Arabidopsis thaliana: one gene and its partners. The protein of the gene in region 1 purifies or fractionates together with the protein of each later gene. This does not show direct contact. Each region holds a gene or a part of one and is shown in the gene's direction. Other genes may lie near its edges.

Region 1 (5,586 bases):
AATTTAGGGAGATTCCATGGTGTTTTGGTTAAGCAACCAGAAGCAAGCAAGATGAAGAAGACTGCGCGTGTGTGTGTGTCTCGCTTAGCCTGTTGCTTTTGGTCTTTTCTATTCCTTTTCTCAATTTATTAAATATCTTTATTCGGTGAAAAAAATATACAGTATATTTCTTAGAAACTTTATAATAAGAATAAGGATTTTGTTTTTATATTTTCCTAAATTCCATAAATCTCTTAAGTTTACAAATTCATATATCTTTTAACATTTAAACAAATAACCAGACTTCTAGTAATATATATAAATTTATTTAGGGAGTGTTATTGGTTTGTGATGTATTCGAAGTTTCAGTGACTTAAAATGTTATGAAGAATTTGTTGTTATTCAATAAAGATTTTTCAATTTTTTGTTAAAGTTTGGTGTTATTAGTTTAAGATTTGTAAAAAGTAATATAAAATCTTCATAAATGTAGAGTTATTGGATTCATATTTTTATAAAGTTATTAAATTTTTTGTGTAATTCATTTAAAACAAAGAATCTATGATTATTATAATGAATTAAATTATTGTGTTATTGGTTTATGACTTTCTACCCTTTTTTTTATAAAATAAAGTTGTGAAAAATATCATACCCTTTTTTTTTACAAAATAAAGTTGTGAAAAATATCATAAAAATAAAGAAATTGTTTGAGAAACTTTACAAAATTATTAAAAACTAATCAACAAGTTTATTAATGACCTTAAACCAAAATAGGTACATATAATATTAGATAGATCATGCAAATGCGTTTGGTGGTTATGTTACTTTTGTATCATTTGATTGGCATGATGTTCTACATTTTTTTACCATTTCTCTATTCTTAAGTCGAAATCTTTAGGACCAAATAAGCATTTTTCCCTAAACTAACAAAGCAGCATCTCACTAGATGTTTTCCAATCAGATTTGCTTACTATAGTGTGCTAATATGAAATTTGAGTGACTCATGACAATGCATCAATCCAGATTAAGCATTAACATGTGATCAGCTAGCATTCATGAGAATATGAGAATTGTCTTCGAGCTAAAAGAAAGTAGACTCTTTTTTCACTTGAGAAACTCATGACATACTTTTTTTTTATATACATTTGTTTTTTGATGATTAGGTTAAACTTTTGTAATAAATAAATTTTTAGTTAAATAAATAAACTTCTATCATCAAAAGACTCGTGAGTTTCTTCCTATGTTGCAATGAAATGGAAACGAAAACGCGAATACGAAACGTTTCGGAAACGAGAAACGATTTTTTCTTAAAATTAGGGATTGGAAACGATTTTTTCTTAAAATTAGGGATTGGAAACGTATACACATACATACATATATATATATATATATATATAACATTAACATAAAACTATATTAAAGAAAAAATGGTTTAAACAATACAAGTCCAAAACATCAATATTAAATAAATAAACTAAAATTCTAAAAGATAAAAATTAAAAGGTTCAAGTTCAAATAGTTAATTTAGACCAACATTTTCATTTTCATTAGTTTCATCAAAGATAATATAAAGCTCTTTTCAAATCTGGTTTATCAAAAGAAATATCTTAAAACTCAAAGTCTTCCAAAATTAGTTATATGTATTAATAATTTTAATAATTTTAATTTTAGTTATTAAATTTTCAAAGTTGAAAAAAATTTGTCGTATGTCTATTTGGGAAACATGAGTTTCTATCTTTAAAACGTAAGTTTCCATCGTGTTTCCAAACATAAATTTTTAAAAAACGCGTTTCCGTTACGTTTTTCATGTTTCCGGAGAGTTTCTGTTTTCGTAACGTTTCGGAAATGGGAAATAGACCTCGGGGCGAGTTTCCATGCAACCTAGATTTCTTCTAACCAATAGAAATGCTCTTAAAAGCCTTTTTTTAAAAAAAATCAACAGAAATGCTCTTAAATGTTAAAAACAAATATTCATGCCAAATTTTGATGTAAAAATTTGTTATTTTCGCTTTAGTTGTGTCTTATTTCGGTCTGGTCATTTTCTCAAAGCCCTTTTAGTTATTTATATATATATTCTCTGTCTCGTATTTGTCCCCAAAAATCTAGGGTTTTAAGGTTTCTTATCCTTCCTCTTCCTCCGCCAGATTCTTTTCTTGCGAAGATGAGCAACGACAAGGACAGCATGAACATGTCCGATCTCTCCACCGGTAAGATATTATAATCTTATTGTCCTATAGAATGAGGCCTGGATTCTCTTTTGTTCTCTTGATTTATTGAAAAAAGCTTCTCTTGTTTTGTGTTTTGCTTATAGCTCTTAACGAGGAGGATCGTGCCGGGCTTGTTAATGCTCTTAAGGTGAGTTTTTTCTTCACGATATGATTTGCGTATGACTATCTGGAGATTGGGCTATTCATCTTTGTAACTTTTAGGGATTGTTTTCTCTTCCTGACTAGTTTTGAGAAATTGATTTGATTCTTATGGCTTAGAGAATTTGACTTTGGTTTTGAGGATTGTCTATGCATCTTAATTTGGTTGTTTGAAAGTTTGTGACTTTTCCTGATTTGATTTACGTGTTTGCTGCAGAACAAGTTGCAGAATTTGGCTGGACAACACTCTGATGTCCTTGAAAACTTGACTCCACCAGTCAGGAAGCGTGTCGAGTTTCTAAGAGAGATTCAGGTGAGTAAATTTTCAGCTTTTAGATGATCTTGGATTTTGTATTGGTTTTGAATTAGCTGGCTGTTCAGGTCTAATGAGTTTTTGGTGGAGCAAATTTATCTGATTCCTTTTGTATTTTAACCTTTGCAGAACCAATATGATGAGATGGAAGCAAAATTCTTTGAGGAGAGAGCAGCTCTTGAAGCTAAGTATCAAAAGTTATATCAGCCTTTATATACCAAGGTTTGAATACGGTCTTTGATTCTGCGAGATTCTTATGGTCTTTAGTTTCCTATTATTAGAATATCTTTGAAACACATGATGACACCTCAATTGATAAAGGTTTAATAAGACTTCTCTCTGTTGCTACTTACGTGAATGATTAGTGCTTCATGGTTTTCACTTCTTTCTGCATCATTCGTGATTGTAACTGATATTGATGGTCTTCTGCCTTCTGCATCACAGCGATATGAGATTGTGAATGGTGTGGTCGAAGTTGAAGGTGCAGCTGAAGAAGTAAAATCCGAACAAGGAGAAGATAAATCAGCTGAAGGTGTGTTTATCGATTCTTTTACTGAAACATGTTTATTTTTAGTATCTTATGATGATGATGGTGAACTCATGATTTTTATATGATATGAAACTGTCTTTCTGCAGAGAAAGGAGTACCAGATTTCTGGCTTATTGCATTGAAGAACAATGAAATTACTGCGGAAGAGGTTCGTTATTAGAATATTCTTCTTTTTGGTTTATAAAATGGCGATTCTCTTTATCATTATGTGGTTTTTTCCACGGTTTTAGATAACTGAGCGAGATGAAGGGGCTCTCAAGTATCTCAAAGATATCAAGTGGAGTAGGGTTGAAGAACCAAAAGGGTTCAAGCTTGAGTTTTTCTTTGATCAGAATCCTTACTTCAAGAACACTGTCTTGACCAAGACATATCACATGATTGATGAAGATGAGCCTATCCTTGAGAAGGCCCTCGGGTAATGTTTTGCTCTATCAAGTATTTACTGTTTATGTTCTGAAGACAATAAGTCTTTATTGACTGTCGTTTACTGCTGTTCAGGACGGAGATTGAGTGGTATCCTGGAAAGTGTTTGACACAGAAGATTCTAAAAAAGAAGCCAAAGAAAGGATCCAAAAACACAAAGCCGATCACTAAGACTGAGGACTGTGAGAGTTTCTTCAACTTTTTCAGTCCACCTCAAGTTCCTGACGATGATGAGGATCTTGATGATGACATGGTATTTCCATCTCCATAAGCAGTTTAGTTTTTAGAGTCAGTAATTAAGATTGTGTTGGATTTTAATCTGATCATCTAATATTCACAGGCTGATGAACTCCAAGGACAAATGGAGCATGATTATGATATCGGGTGTGTACCTTTCTATTTCATATTCAGTTCTCTTCACTTAGTTCAGTTCTAGGATCTGAGTCTGTCCACTGTTTATCCTGTAGTTCAACAATCAAAGAGAAAATCATCTCGCATGCTGTGTCATGGTTCACTGGTGAAGCTGTTGAGGCAGATGACCTTGATATTGAGGACGACGATGATGAGATTGATGAAGATGATGATGAAGAGGACGAGGAAGATGATGAGGATGACGAGGAGGAGGATGATGAGGATGATGACGAGGAGGAAGAAGCAGATCAAGGAAAGAAGAGCAAAAAGAAGGTAAATTATGTGGTTTTGTTCTACTTAAAACCTTCCTACATAGGAAACTAAAACCTCTGAAACTGATTTGGTGGTTTATCTTTTGTTTTGTTGCAGTCATCAGCTGGGCACAAGGTTTAACAATCAATCAATCTCGATCTTTTTTTTTTGTTGATAATGCAATGGCTAACCTGAGGTATCCTTTTTTAATGAACAGAAGGCTGGAAGAAGTCAACTTGCGGAAGGTCAAGCAGGTGAGAGGCCACCGGAATGTAAGCAGCAGTGAAGAAGTGAAGAATCTTGGCTTAGTTATGATGAAGAAGAAGAGTGAAGAGTGTCTTTGAGCCGAGGTTGTGTTTCTTTAATTTGCAGAGTCATGGTCCGGTTTATTATATATCAGTTTTGGGTGATTGGTTTGCTATTTAAAAAAAAAAAATGGGTTCTTTGGTTTGGTTTGTGTCTCTTGATTTTTCCTTTTGTAATGATCTTATGAATTTGTTTCGAGTTAATGTCGTTCTCTGGTCAGATTTCGAATTCAATTCTATTTATCCTCCCTCGTTAATGAGAGAATTTGTGAGACAATCTAGTTTACTTAAGATTGATCGAATTTTATAAACCAACATTACCAAACCGTCAAATAATTAAAACCAATCAATCTTATTTATCGGTTTGCATAACCCATCAATGAGCCGGTTTAGACATCGGTTTGAGTTTCTCTGGGAAAGACAAAAGTCAAAAACATCTCTGCCGACTTGTAAAAGACCGATCAACAGAAACCCAAAAAAAATAGTTGAAACGGAGGGAAACGAAAACCTAAAACCCTAAAAAACTCTTCCTTTTTTTTTTCCAGTGAAATTTCTCTTCTTCTCCGTTTTCATACAAGTCTGACTTCTGGGTAGTTGGAATTTTCCAGTTTTTGGTTTGTTTCTGTATCTGTGGTTTAAAAAAGTGGAGAAGAAGCTTTTTAGTGCTTTTCTATGGCGAGGATTCTCCGAAACGTTTATTCACTGAGAAGCTCTCTGTTTTCGTCAGAGGTATGTTTATCGTGTTTCTCATTTGGGTATTACGAGAAATTAAAAAAACTCTGTTACTGTCGTTTTCATTGCTTATTTGGGTATTCATTCATGAGAAAGAATCCGAAATGTTGTCTCTTAATTTGAATTCATTCTTTTTTTCTGGGTAATGTTTATTGACAAGGGTTTCATGGGGTTTTGCAGTTACTTAGAAGAAGTGTGGTTGGAACATCGTTTCAGCTCCGAGGCTTTGCTGCCAAAGGTTGTCTTAAGCTTTTACCT
Region 2 (5,095 bases), on another chromosome or scaffold:
CACATTATATATTTTACACATCATCGTTTAATAGACACTATACGAAAACAGTATAGTATTTCTAAAAAGACATCCGAAAGAGAACCTGCGAATCTTGGCCTTTAAGCAACCTTTGGCTGAAGCAATTCTTCTATCCTCCTCTCCTTTTTCATTTATTTATCAAATATACTCCAGTTTATTCTTTTCTTCCCACTTTCAATGCCTCTCATATATGTAAAACAAATCAAAGTATAATAACTCTCAAAACATGTAACTTCGATTCCTATCTATTAGAAATTGACGAGAGACATGTCGAGAACAAGAGTGCGAGCTGTGACCCATCAAGATCTTGTTCCAAACCCTAAAACCACAGATCTCAGCAGCAAAACCGGTATTTTCATCGCTGTTTTGACAATAATCTTTGGCCTCTCCTGCTTTGTTCTCTGCCTCTATGCCGAAGCCACAAGATCTCAGGTACATTACTATACAGGGATGTATATAAACTTTCTCTCATATGTTTTCATCATTTATATTTTCAAAATAAATCAGAAATCTATATTGATTCATGTTTTATATTAATTACCATATCGTTCGATTATAATAGTATTTAGTATAAGTTATATCATTGCCATTAATATGTTGTCAATCATTTGCAATAGGCGACATGGGGAAGCAAAACATGCGTGTATAATGGTAGCGGGAAAACGCCGTTGTTGTGTGGTGCGATTGCGTTTGTGGGACTAGCGGTGGCGATGGTGGGCTTCCACATGTACTTACTTATCGCAGTCACCACATCGCCGTCTCTGGTTCTGGTTGAGTGGGATCCTGACTCTGTTCCTGCGAAGAGGCTCACTTTTCAAGCTGCCTTCTTCTTCGTCTCAACATGGTACGTAGACTTATTCTAACGCAACGAATTAATGTCATGTAGTTATAAAAAATAAAATAAAAATAAAAAAATCCTAACTATAAGCAATCGTGAAATGACATATTTATGTTACTGACCATAGCTTAAGTTAATGATAATTTTGTGATTATATTATTCTTTTTTGTTCCTATAAGGGTTTGCTTTGGTGTTGGAGAGGTTCTACTGTTGGTTGCACTTAGTGTGGAATCAGGACATCTAAAGAACTGGTCTAAACCAAAACCTAGTTGTCTAGTAATCCGGCAAGGCTTGTTTTCAGCGGCCGGAGTGTTCTCACTTATAACCGTCTTTCTAGCCACGGGACTTTACCTAACCGCTCTTCAAGCACATCGAATCTCTAAGGATCTTGAAAACACACATAGAGAGATCATCGAGGCATCAGTTCTTTATGCATCTCCTCCAAGATCGCCTACAAATCGGATGGCTACGGTTGCTCGAGAAGGTCTTGCTACTGTTAGAGATGAATCGACGTCTTTGGAATATCTTGTTTCTTTAAAGCAACTTGCACATATAGTATAGTGTACAATGTATAGTAGTTAACATAATCATATGAGAAAAAACAATGTTTTTACTTCTTACATAAGCAATTCAAAATCACAAACCAAAACCTACTTTTTCCAATCAATACATGAACTTTACCGGAAAAGTAGGTTTTCCTTCGCCGGAGAAAACACTACACATCTAACGAGTAAACTCTGCAAATATGGTTCTTTTTATCGTCGGTAACGAGTAACTAAACCAACTTCACGGTTTAGTTCGGTTTAGATTCAAGTATTTTAGCTTATAATAATTATTGACTAATTATTTCAATTTGGAGCTCTTAATAATATGATTGTAAACTTTATCTTAAATTTAGATTATCAATGATTTATGATTCAATCTACTGTATAAATACGGTTAACAATTAAAAACGATAATTAGAAAACCCTCCCGCTTCTTCAAATTGAAACTGTTGTCGCTTCTTCTTCATCTTCACCACTCTTGCATTCTCTTCTTCACTTTGCAAATCCCATTCAGTTCAAATTTCTAGGGTTTCGCTTCGATTTTGTGAATTGATTTAGAGAGGTCGAAGAATCGAGAAAGCTATGTCCTTGCGACCGAGCACGAAGACAGAGATCCGTCGAATCCGTTACAAAGTCTCTGTAGATGCGGAAGAAGGACGCAGAAGAAGAGAAGACTTTTTAGTCGAGATTCGCAAGAGTAAACGCAACGAAAATTTGATGAAGAAACGTCGTGTAAAAGTTTTGCCTCCTGATTACAAGTTGATTTCCAACGACCCCTTTGAGAGTTTGGTAAAAGTTTGATCTTTGGTTTTGGATTAGTGAAACCTAGGTTTTGAAAGATACGACCTTTATCATTATACTCGAATGCTTTCGAATTGGGTAATTAAATTAGATCCTCTCTGGTGATGGTTGTAGTTGGAGATAGCGAATATGATCACTGGGGTTTTCTCGGATGATCCTTCATTGCAGCTTGAGTACACAACTCGGTTCAGGGTGGTTCTATCATTCGGTAAAACTCTTTACTTTTCTTTGATCTTGAGTTGAAAAAGATACGAACTTATATTTACTTGAATGGTTTCTTAAAGTCTTGTGGTTTTATATATTGTTCAGATAGAAGTCCACCTACTGATAATGTGATAAAATCTGGAGTTGTGCCACGTTTTGTAGAGTTTCTTAAGAAGGATGATAACCCTAAGCTTCAGGTTAGACTTAAAGTTCCCATCTTTGATGATTAGTGTAATCTTTGGTTCTGAATTCTTTGATCTTTTTTATAGTTTGAGGCTGCTTGGGCTTTAACAAACATTGCTTCTGGCGCATCTGAGCATACCAAGGTAGTGATTGATCACGGTGTTGTGCCACTCTTTGTTCAGCTTCTTGCTTCCCCTGATGATGATGTCCGTGAGCAGGTATAGTGCTTCTTCTGAGTATGAATGGTTAAATATGTGAGTTCAAATTTTGAAGAGTTTGATGTTACACTTAATTTGCAGGCTATATGGGGACTGGGTAATGTTGCTGGTGATTCAATACAGTGCCGTGACTTTGTTCTTAACTCTGGGGCATTTATTCCACTGTTGCATCAGCTGAATAACCATGCTACATTGTCGATACTTAGAAATGCGACTTGGACTTTATCAAACTTCTTCCGTGGCAAGCCTTCACCACCCTTTGACCTGGTATTCTTACTTCTCTATTTCCTCAGTTTTATAGGTGCAATACTTAAACTTATGAAACATGATTTATAGGTGAAACATGTTCTCCCTGTACTTAAAAGACTTGTTTATTCGGATGATGAACAAGTCTTGATAGATGCTTGCTGGGCGCTTTCGAATCTGTCTGATGCTTCAAATGAAAATATCCAAAGTGTGATCGAGGCGGGTGTTGTCCCAAGACTAGTTGAACTTCTCCAGTTAGTACTTCTCTCCAAATATTAAAAAATTTAACCGTTTGATACATGTTTGGATAATGAAGGCTCGCCATTTTTTTCTTTTGCAGACACGCTTCTCCAGTTGTACTTGTTCCTGCACTTCGTTGCATTGGGAATATAGTTTCTGGAAATAGTCAGCAGACTCACGTATGTAATTCATATTCCTTTGATGGAGCCTTCAAGAACACGTCTCTTGTACACCGTGTGAATTTATTGTTTTTCAAAGCAATAGCACTATCAAAAGCTTAATTTGTAATCCTGTATCTTGGATGATTATATCCTGGAGAACACTTCATTTATATGTTGCTTGAGTACTGTGTTGAGATTAGATTTTGTAACCAAATAACTCTTTGAACTTATTTTTCAGTGTGTGATCAATTGTGGTGTTTTACCCGTTCTTGCTGACCTGCTTACTCAAAACCATATGAGAGGCATAAGGAGGGAAGCTTGCTGGACGATTTCAAACATCACTGCCGGTTTAGAAGAACAAATTCAGGTGAGCATGAGTTTGTGATTGTTACTGTTGCAGAACTTGAACAATTTACGTTGCTATCACTAAATATTTTCTATTTGTCTTTCTTGCATTGATGATGATAACAGTCGGTTATTGATGCAAATTTGATTCCATCGTTGGTCAATCTGGCACAACATGCTGAATTTGACATAAAGAAAGAAGCTATATGGGCAATTTCAAATGCTTCCGTGGGTGGTTCTCCTAATCAAATCAAGTACATCCCTGTCTTCTTTCTTTATCACTTTTTTCATGCTTATTGATCATCTATATTCACAATATCCATTGGTGTGTATCAGATACTTGGTGGAGCAGAATTGCATAAAAGCTTTATGTGACATCCTGGTTTGTCCAGATCTAAGAATCATCTTAGTGTCTCTAGGTGGACTGGAAATGATTTTGATTGCTGGAGAGGTGGACAAGAACCTAAGAGACGTGAACTGTTACTCTCAAATGATTGAAGATGCAGAAGGGCTAGAAAAGATTGAGAACTTGCAGCACCATGGCAACAATGAGATCTACGAGAAGGCTGTGAAGATTCTGCAAACATACGGGCTTGTAGAGGAAGATGGAAGGTTAGTTGAAGAGGAAGATGAAGGTGGTGATGGTTGTTCTCATCCGGAATTCCAGTTTGATTTTTCTCGTTAAGATCCCACATAATCTGATATTAGATTTTGATGTAAAGAAATAGCTGTCATATTGAACCAAAAGCATGCACATAATATGATGGTCCTAAAAGACAAAACAATGTGGATTCCAACAGGAAGTGGAACTTGGTTCTCTAACAGCTACTCATCATATTGGAATCAAGTTCCACTTCCTGTTAGAGAACCAAGTTCCACTTCCTGTTGGAATCCACATTGTTTTGTCTTTTAGGAAAAAATTTTACTCAAATTTACCGAACTAACGGTCAAAATTAAGAAAGGGTTAAATTATTTGTTTACCGAACTAACGGTCAAACTTTAAAGATGGATTCAGTTTTTTTGACGCGGGACGGATTTGTTTTTTTTTTTTTCTTTCGAAATGGATGGGCTCTTATGCTATGGGCTTTGGTATAACGTAAAAGGCCCATATATTCCGAAACCACTTTGTGTTTCGTTTCCATGGAGAAATTGAATCATCGAATTTGGTCGCCACTTTGAGAATTTAGATGAATTCGATAACAAGCTCAAGTAAGAAGGTGCAGAGATGCTTTATTATTTCTTCGCTCGTTGTTAACTCTTCTTCATTCTCGTCTCTGCTATTTTTTCTTAAGC
Region 3 (5,828 bases), on another chromosome or scaffold:
TTGGAACCCACCCAACGACACGTCTTCACGAATTTCTCAACAAAAAAAAATACTTATACCAAAAGCTAATTTTGTTGAGTGTGATTTTCAAAAGTAAAATGGTTGAAAATTCAAGACACTTCTTTTCATGAATTAATAATGCATATACAAACTCCATGTGATTTCAGTCCGTTTGGTTTTTCCATTTTTTTCTCATTTTTCGTAAATAGAAATAACCTCTAAGTATTCTATCGTGTAAGAAAATAATTTAAGTCTAGAGAAACACCTAACCTTTAAATTAAAAATCATTAATTTTATAGAATAATTTCTTTTTTTTGGCAACGTTAAGCGCCTTAATAACTAGGCTTAAATTAAATCCTTTTTTCAAAAGATGTGATATAAGAAATTATCAATAGTAATTTGGTTTGGTGTTGGGGGAGTGAGTGCCCGTTGTAGTTTTGATCAGTCTGGCGTTTGCTTCCGGTTTGGTGCTGTTTGTGCTAGAGTTTCTAATTGGTTCGTGCTTCTAGTGATCTAGCAGTCTCTTCTAAACACTTGTCTTTGGCTCAAACTCGGTTTCTATTGATTCAAGTGATCGTCGGTCTGGTTTGCTTCTTTACTTTTTTCAGTTCTTAGGATTCATTATCCCATCCTCCGTTGTTTGCTTGATCTTTTTTTTTTTTTTTTTTTTTTTGTTTTGCAATTCTTAATTGTTATGGTTTTTTGTGCTATGAATTTTATTAAGTGTTTTCGGTAGATTCTGCTTTAGTTTTCGAGAATTTCTTTGTTTTTTATAGGTTTAATATTTTAAAAATATATTTCACCTATATATTTTATCATTAGTTTATATAATGAAAAAATTAGTGGAAAAAAGAATTATCAATATAAATTTGTATGAATATGAAAAATAAATCTCTTAATGAATCGAAAAAAATACCAAATATATTAATTAAATATCAGCTAAAAAAAGAGTTTCATAAATATTTTTAAAAATAAGAAATGCTTCAAAACTTCAATTAGTAGCCTCTTAATGCTGGTGTGAACCCTAGAAGTACGAAAAGCCTTTTTCTTTGTTTCTCTTCGCAAAATTCAGAATCAAATAGAGACTAGTTTTACGATCACAGAGTTTCTAGGGTTGATCTCCATCTTCATCGATTTCGTATAGCTAAATATTCTAACCTAGTCATGAATAGGATCGACGAAGGTACATAAAAAGCTCTGCTTTCAAAAGCCCTAAATTCTCTGTTATTATTATTTTTCTAACGATTCGACTCTGTTTTTGAGACAGAGCCCCAGATTCATGAAGATCCAGTGGAGAACCGTGAGGAAGATGATGAAGACGAAGATGATCAGTATGAGTTTGACGATGGGTTTTTAGTGAATGGTTCTGATGATGGAGAAGAAGAAGAAGAACAGAGACATTGTAGTGAGAAAAAGAGTAGAAGTCGAAGGAAGAAAGACGAATCCTTTACTCTTCACGAAGATGATTATCTACTTCTTAAAGATAACAACGACACTTTCCAAAGAAACAAGTATAAACGTTTGAAGAAATCTTCAGAGGAAGAGGATAAGATCAATAATGATGATGATGATGATGATTTGAGTCACTTCATTGTAGATGAAGATGATCATGGTGCTCAAGGAATGAGGAGGAAGAAAATGAAATATAAGCAAGGAACTGATTCGAACGCTTTACGATACGCTAATGATGTATTTGGTGATCCTGAAGAATTGTTGAAACTTCGGAAAAAGGATTTGAAGTATAACGAAAAGATCGAAAGAAAGTTAGAAGATGAGTTTGAACCAATGGTTCTCTCTGAGAAGTATATGACGGAGAAAGATGATGAAATTAGGAAGCTTGATGTTCCTGAGAGAATGCAGATATTTGAAGAAGCCATTGGAATTGTTTCCCTAGATGACATGAGCATTCAAGAAGAGAGCAACTGGATTTATGCTCGATTGCTTCAAGAACAAGGGCAGGGTTGTTTGATTAATAAGGATGACATTGTGAAGTTTTTAGAGATGTTTCATGTGCAGAAGTTAGAGATACCGTTTATAGCTATGTATCGGAAGGAGCAGTGTCGGAGTTTATTGGACAGTTCTGATGATGATCATGATGGTAGTGATTTCAATCTTGACAAGAAGCTTGAGACCAAGTGGCATAAAGTCTTGTGGATGATTCAAGATTTGGATAGAAAGTGGGTTCTTCTGCGGAAAAGGAAAACCGCGTTGTTTGGTTACTATACCAAACGTTTTGAAGAAGAAACCTGCATGTCTGATCTGAATAAGAGTCTTTTTGAATCTGTTATTAAGTCTCTTCAAGCGGCGGAGACAGAGAGAGAAGTTGATGATGTAGACTCAAAGTTCAACTTGCATTTTCCTCATTGTGAGATCGATGAAGGACAGTACAAGAGGCCGAATAGGAAATCGCAATATAGCATCTGCAGCAAATTTGGGATTAAGGAATTTGCAAACAAGTTTGGTTATAGCGCTGAGCAATTGGGACTAGCGTTGTCTCTTGAGAAAGTTTTTGTTGATGAGCTTGAAGATGCAAAGAAAACACCAGAGGAGATGGCATTGAACTATGAGTGTGCAATGTTTGGAGATTCTCAAGCTGTTCTTAAAGGTGCAAGGCATATGGCTGCGGTTGAGATAAGCTGCGAGCCATCGATTAGAAAGTATGTTCGTGGAATTTTTATGGAGAATGCAGTAGTCTCAACGAGTCCAACACCAGATGGGAATGTGGTTATAGATTCCTTCCATCGGTTTTCTGCGGTTAAGTGGTTAAGCGAGAAGCCATTGAGAAAGTTTGATGGTGTACAATGGCTTCTCATTCAGAAAGCAGAAGAGGAGAAGCTTCTTCAAGTAACTTTCAAGCTGCCTGAGAATCAGATGAATAGGATAATTAGTGAATGCAGTGAACACTATCTAAGTGTTGGTGTTAGTAAGTATGCTCAACTCTGGAACGAGCAGAGGAAATTGATACTGGAGGATGCGGTTCATGGTTTTGTTTTGCCGTCAATGGAGAAAGAAGCAAGATCCTTGCTAACTAGCAGAGCGAAGACTCAGTTGCTTTCAGAGTATGGACAGGTTTTATGGAACAAAGTGTCTTCAGGGCCATATCGAAGGAATAATAATACCTCGGAGGAGGAAGCTGCACCGAGGGTCCTAGCTTGTTGTTGGGGACCTGGAAATCCAGAAACTACATTTGTGATGCTTGATTCATCAGGAGAGCTGGTTGATGTGCTTTACTCAGGTTCCATTGGATTGCGGTCTCGGGATGTAAATGACCAGAAACGTAAAAAAATGGATCAAGATCGTTTTCTAAAGTTTATAAGAGACCATCAACCAGATGTTTTGGCTTTAGCAGCTGTTAATTTGAGTTGTGTACGCCTGAAGGATGAGATTTATGAGGCTATATTCCAAATGGTGGAAGAGCTGCCGTTGAATTATGTAGATGATAGGATTTATGATTTTCCATTGGTTTATGCGGATGAATCTCTTCCTAGGCTATACGAAAATTCTAGAATCTCAAGTGAACAACTACCTCAACAAGCAGGAATTGTGAAACGCGCAGTTTCTCTTGGACGTTATCTCCAGAATCCATTAGCAATGATCTCAACTTTATGCGGTCCAGGTAGAGATATTCTGTCTTGGAAGCTTCATTCTTTTCAAGATTTTCTTGATCCAGATGAGAAGTATGAGATGGTTGAACAAGTTATGGTTGACATAACGAATCAAGTTGGAATCGACATTAATCTGGCTGCGAGCCATGAATGGCTTTTTTCTCCTTTACAGTTTGTTTCAGGTCTTGGTCCTAGGAAAGCTGCATCTTTGCAGAAGTCTCTTGTTAGAGCTGGTTCGATATTTGTCCGCAAGGAACTGATAAATCATGGGATTGGTAAAAAGGTATTCGTAAATGCAGCTGGTTTCTTACGGATTCGTAGGAGCGGGTTGGCTTGTAGTAGCAGCCAATTTATTGATCTGTTGGATGACACTAGAATACATCCCGAATCATACGGTCTTGCGCAAGAATTGGCGAAAGATGTTTATGCTCATGATACTGTAAGAGGTGATGAGGATGATGCAATAGAGATGGCGATAGAGCATGTGAGAGATGAGCCAGCTTCTTTGAGGAAAATCGTTCTTGATGAGTACTTGAGAAGCAAGAACCAAGAGAATAAGAAGGAAACTTATAGTCTGATCATGAGAGAATTAAGCTGTGGATTTCAGGATTGGCGGAGTCTGTTTAAAGAGGTTGATTCAGATGAGGAGTTTTATATGATTTCAGGTGAAACCAAAGAAACTATTGGTGAAGGGAGGATTGTGCAGGCCACTGTTAAGAAAGTGACAAGTGGTAAAGCCAAATGTGTATTAGATTGTGGATTACCTGGGATTCTCTTGAAGGAAGATTACTCAGATGATGGTAGAGATATCGTTGATTTGTCTAACAAACTGTGTGAAGGCGATATCGTTACTTGCAAGGTCAAATCGATTCTAAAGCAAAGGTATCATGTGTTACTTGTCTGCAAAGAAAGCGAAATGAGAAAGCACAGGAATCTCGGGGATGTCGATGATTATTACCACGAGGAGAAACGAAATAGTGTCCTGATAGAGAAAGAGAAAGTTCCTAAAGAAAAGAAGCAGTTTAAGTCTCGGATGATTGTTCATCCTCGGTTTCAGAACATCACTGCCGAGCAAGCAACAGTGTATTTGTCTGATAAGAATATTGGAGAAAGCATTGTTCGTCCAAGCTCACGAGGACTGAATCATTTGACTTTGATGATCAAGATTTCTGATAATGTGTATGCTAACAAGGAGATAATCGAAGGTGAGAAGGAGAACAAAGATATAGTGAGCTTACAACGTATTGGGAAAACACTGAAAATTGGGAATGAAACCTTCGAGGATCTAGATGAGGTTCGTCTTTATATTCTTACAAAATTTCAGTTTTGGTACAAGTGAAAATACTTATGCGTTTTCAATATTTCAGGTAATGGATCGGTATGTTGATCCTTTGGTAACTCATCTTATGACAATGCTAAACCACCGGAAATTTCGGACTGGGACAAAATCGGAAATAGATGATCTTCTTCGGGTTGAGAAGGGTGTGAATCCGAAAATGGTAGTTTACAGTTTTGGTGTTTCTCATGAACATCCAGGGAGCTTTATATTGTCTTACATACGATCCGCAAATCCGCACCACGAGTACATCGGTCTATACCCTAAGGGATTCAAGTTCAGGAAAAGAATGTTTGGGGATCTTGATAAACTGGCTGCTTATTTCAAGAGACATATCGATAATCAATGAACTTGAAGGTACTATTTATCATGTATTCATGAATTTTTCCACTCCTTAGCCCAAAGAATTTCTTAGACTGATTGCTTGCTTTGCAAGAAACCTATATGGGAAATAATAGTTTTGTTTTTGGAACGTTAATTAGGTCTGTTGTTTAGTAGAACTATACAAGTATTCAACTTAAATTTCGTCAAAAGTGTGAAAGATCCCACAAGAAATGTGAAGAGACGAAAGATTTAATTAGTTAGCTTTGTTTATTGCGGACAGAGTGTTGTTTTCAATTCTAACATCTCTGTTTTGTTTCATGGGTTTTTCTTTTCCGTTACTTTTGGGTTAAATGATTGTTTTTAGATTCATTTATGTAACTAATGATGTTCTCTTACTTTTTTTTTTGCAGATTGATTTTAAGGTATGGTTTTTGCTGATGTTTGGTTCAAGCACAAGAGCTACTTTAGTATAGTTAACTTTATATCAGTGACTTTTATGTTGACAATTCAATTACGCCATGAGTCAATTTACTTTTTCCTACTCTCTTGTGTTTGTTTATCTT

What was found. The genes of interacting proteins can lie anywhere in the genome.
Region 2: the proteins of NAP1;2 (region 1) and IMPA-5 fractionate together in Arabidopsis thaliana (co-fractionation; one large-scale study listed by BioGRID). This does not show direct contact.
Region 3: the proteins of NAP1;2 (region 1) and AT1G63210 fractionate together in Arabidopsis thaliana (co-fractionation; one large-scale study listed by BioGRID). This does not show direct contact.

What each region holds. Positions count from the first base shown.
Region 1 is NC_003071.7:8,436,464-8,442,049, forward strand, and holds NAP1;2 (nucleosome assembly protein 1;2), read left to right. Parts: upstream 1-1,992; 5' UTR 1,993-2,137; coding exon 2,138-2,183; intron 2,184-2,287; coding exon 2,288-2,331; intron 2,332-2,559; coding exon 2,560-2,655; intron 2,656-2,784; coding exon 2,785-2,877; intron 2,878-3,099; coding exon 3,100-3,187; intron 3,188-3,291; coding exon 3,292-3,353; intron 3,354-3,435; coding exon 3,436-3,620; intron 3,621-3,703; coding exon 3,704-3,881; intron 3,882-3,968; coding exon 3,969-4,012; intron 4,013-4,095; coding exon 4,096-4,312; intron 4,313-4,408; coding exon 4,409-4,426; intron 4,427-4,508; coding exon 4,509-4,577; 3' UTR 4,578-5,038; downstream 5,039-5,586. Other genes in the region: RECA2 (recA DNA recombination family protein), read left to right, coding at 5,269-5,325, 5,509-5,566. UniProt on the Arabidopsis thaliana protein: May modulate chromatin structure by regulation of nucleosome assembly/disassembly. May function in nucleotide excision repair (NER). Involved in somatic homologous recombination.
Region 2 is NC_003076.8:19,991,408-19,996,502, reverse strand, and holds IMPA-5 (importin alpha), read left to right. Parts: upstream 1-1,830; 5' UTR 1,831-1,986; coding exon 1,987-2,193; intron 2,194-2,319; coding exon 2,320-2,413; intron 2,414-2,514; coding exon 2,515-2,606; intron 2,607-2,678; coding exon 2,679-2,810; intron 2,811-2,891; coding exon 2,892-3,077; intron 3,078-3,146; coding exon 3,147-3,310; intron 3,311-3,396; coding exon 3,397-3,475; intron 3,476-3,695; coding exon 3,696-3,824; intron 3,825-3,928; coding exon 3,929-4,056; intron 4,057-4,138; coding exon 4,139-4,487; 3' UTR 4,488-4,557; downstream 4,558-5,095. Other genes in the region: AT5G49320 (transmembrane protein, putative (DUF1218)), read left to right, coding at 289-453, 639-865, 1,039-1,420. UniProt on the Arabidopsis thaliana protein: Binds to conventional NLS motifs and mediates nuclear protein import across the nuclear envelope.
Region 3 is NC_003070.9:23,442,065-23,447,892, forward strand, and holds AT1G63210 (Transcription elongation factor Spt6), read left to right. Parts: upstream 1-1,623; coding exon 1,624-4,899; intron 4,900-4,972; coding exon 4,973-5,290; downstream 5,291-5,828. UniProt on the Arabidopsis thaliana protein: Transcription elongation factor that enhances the transcription elongation by RNA polymerase II (RNAPII).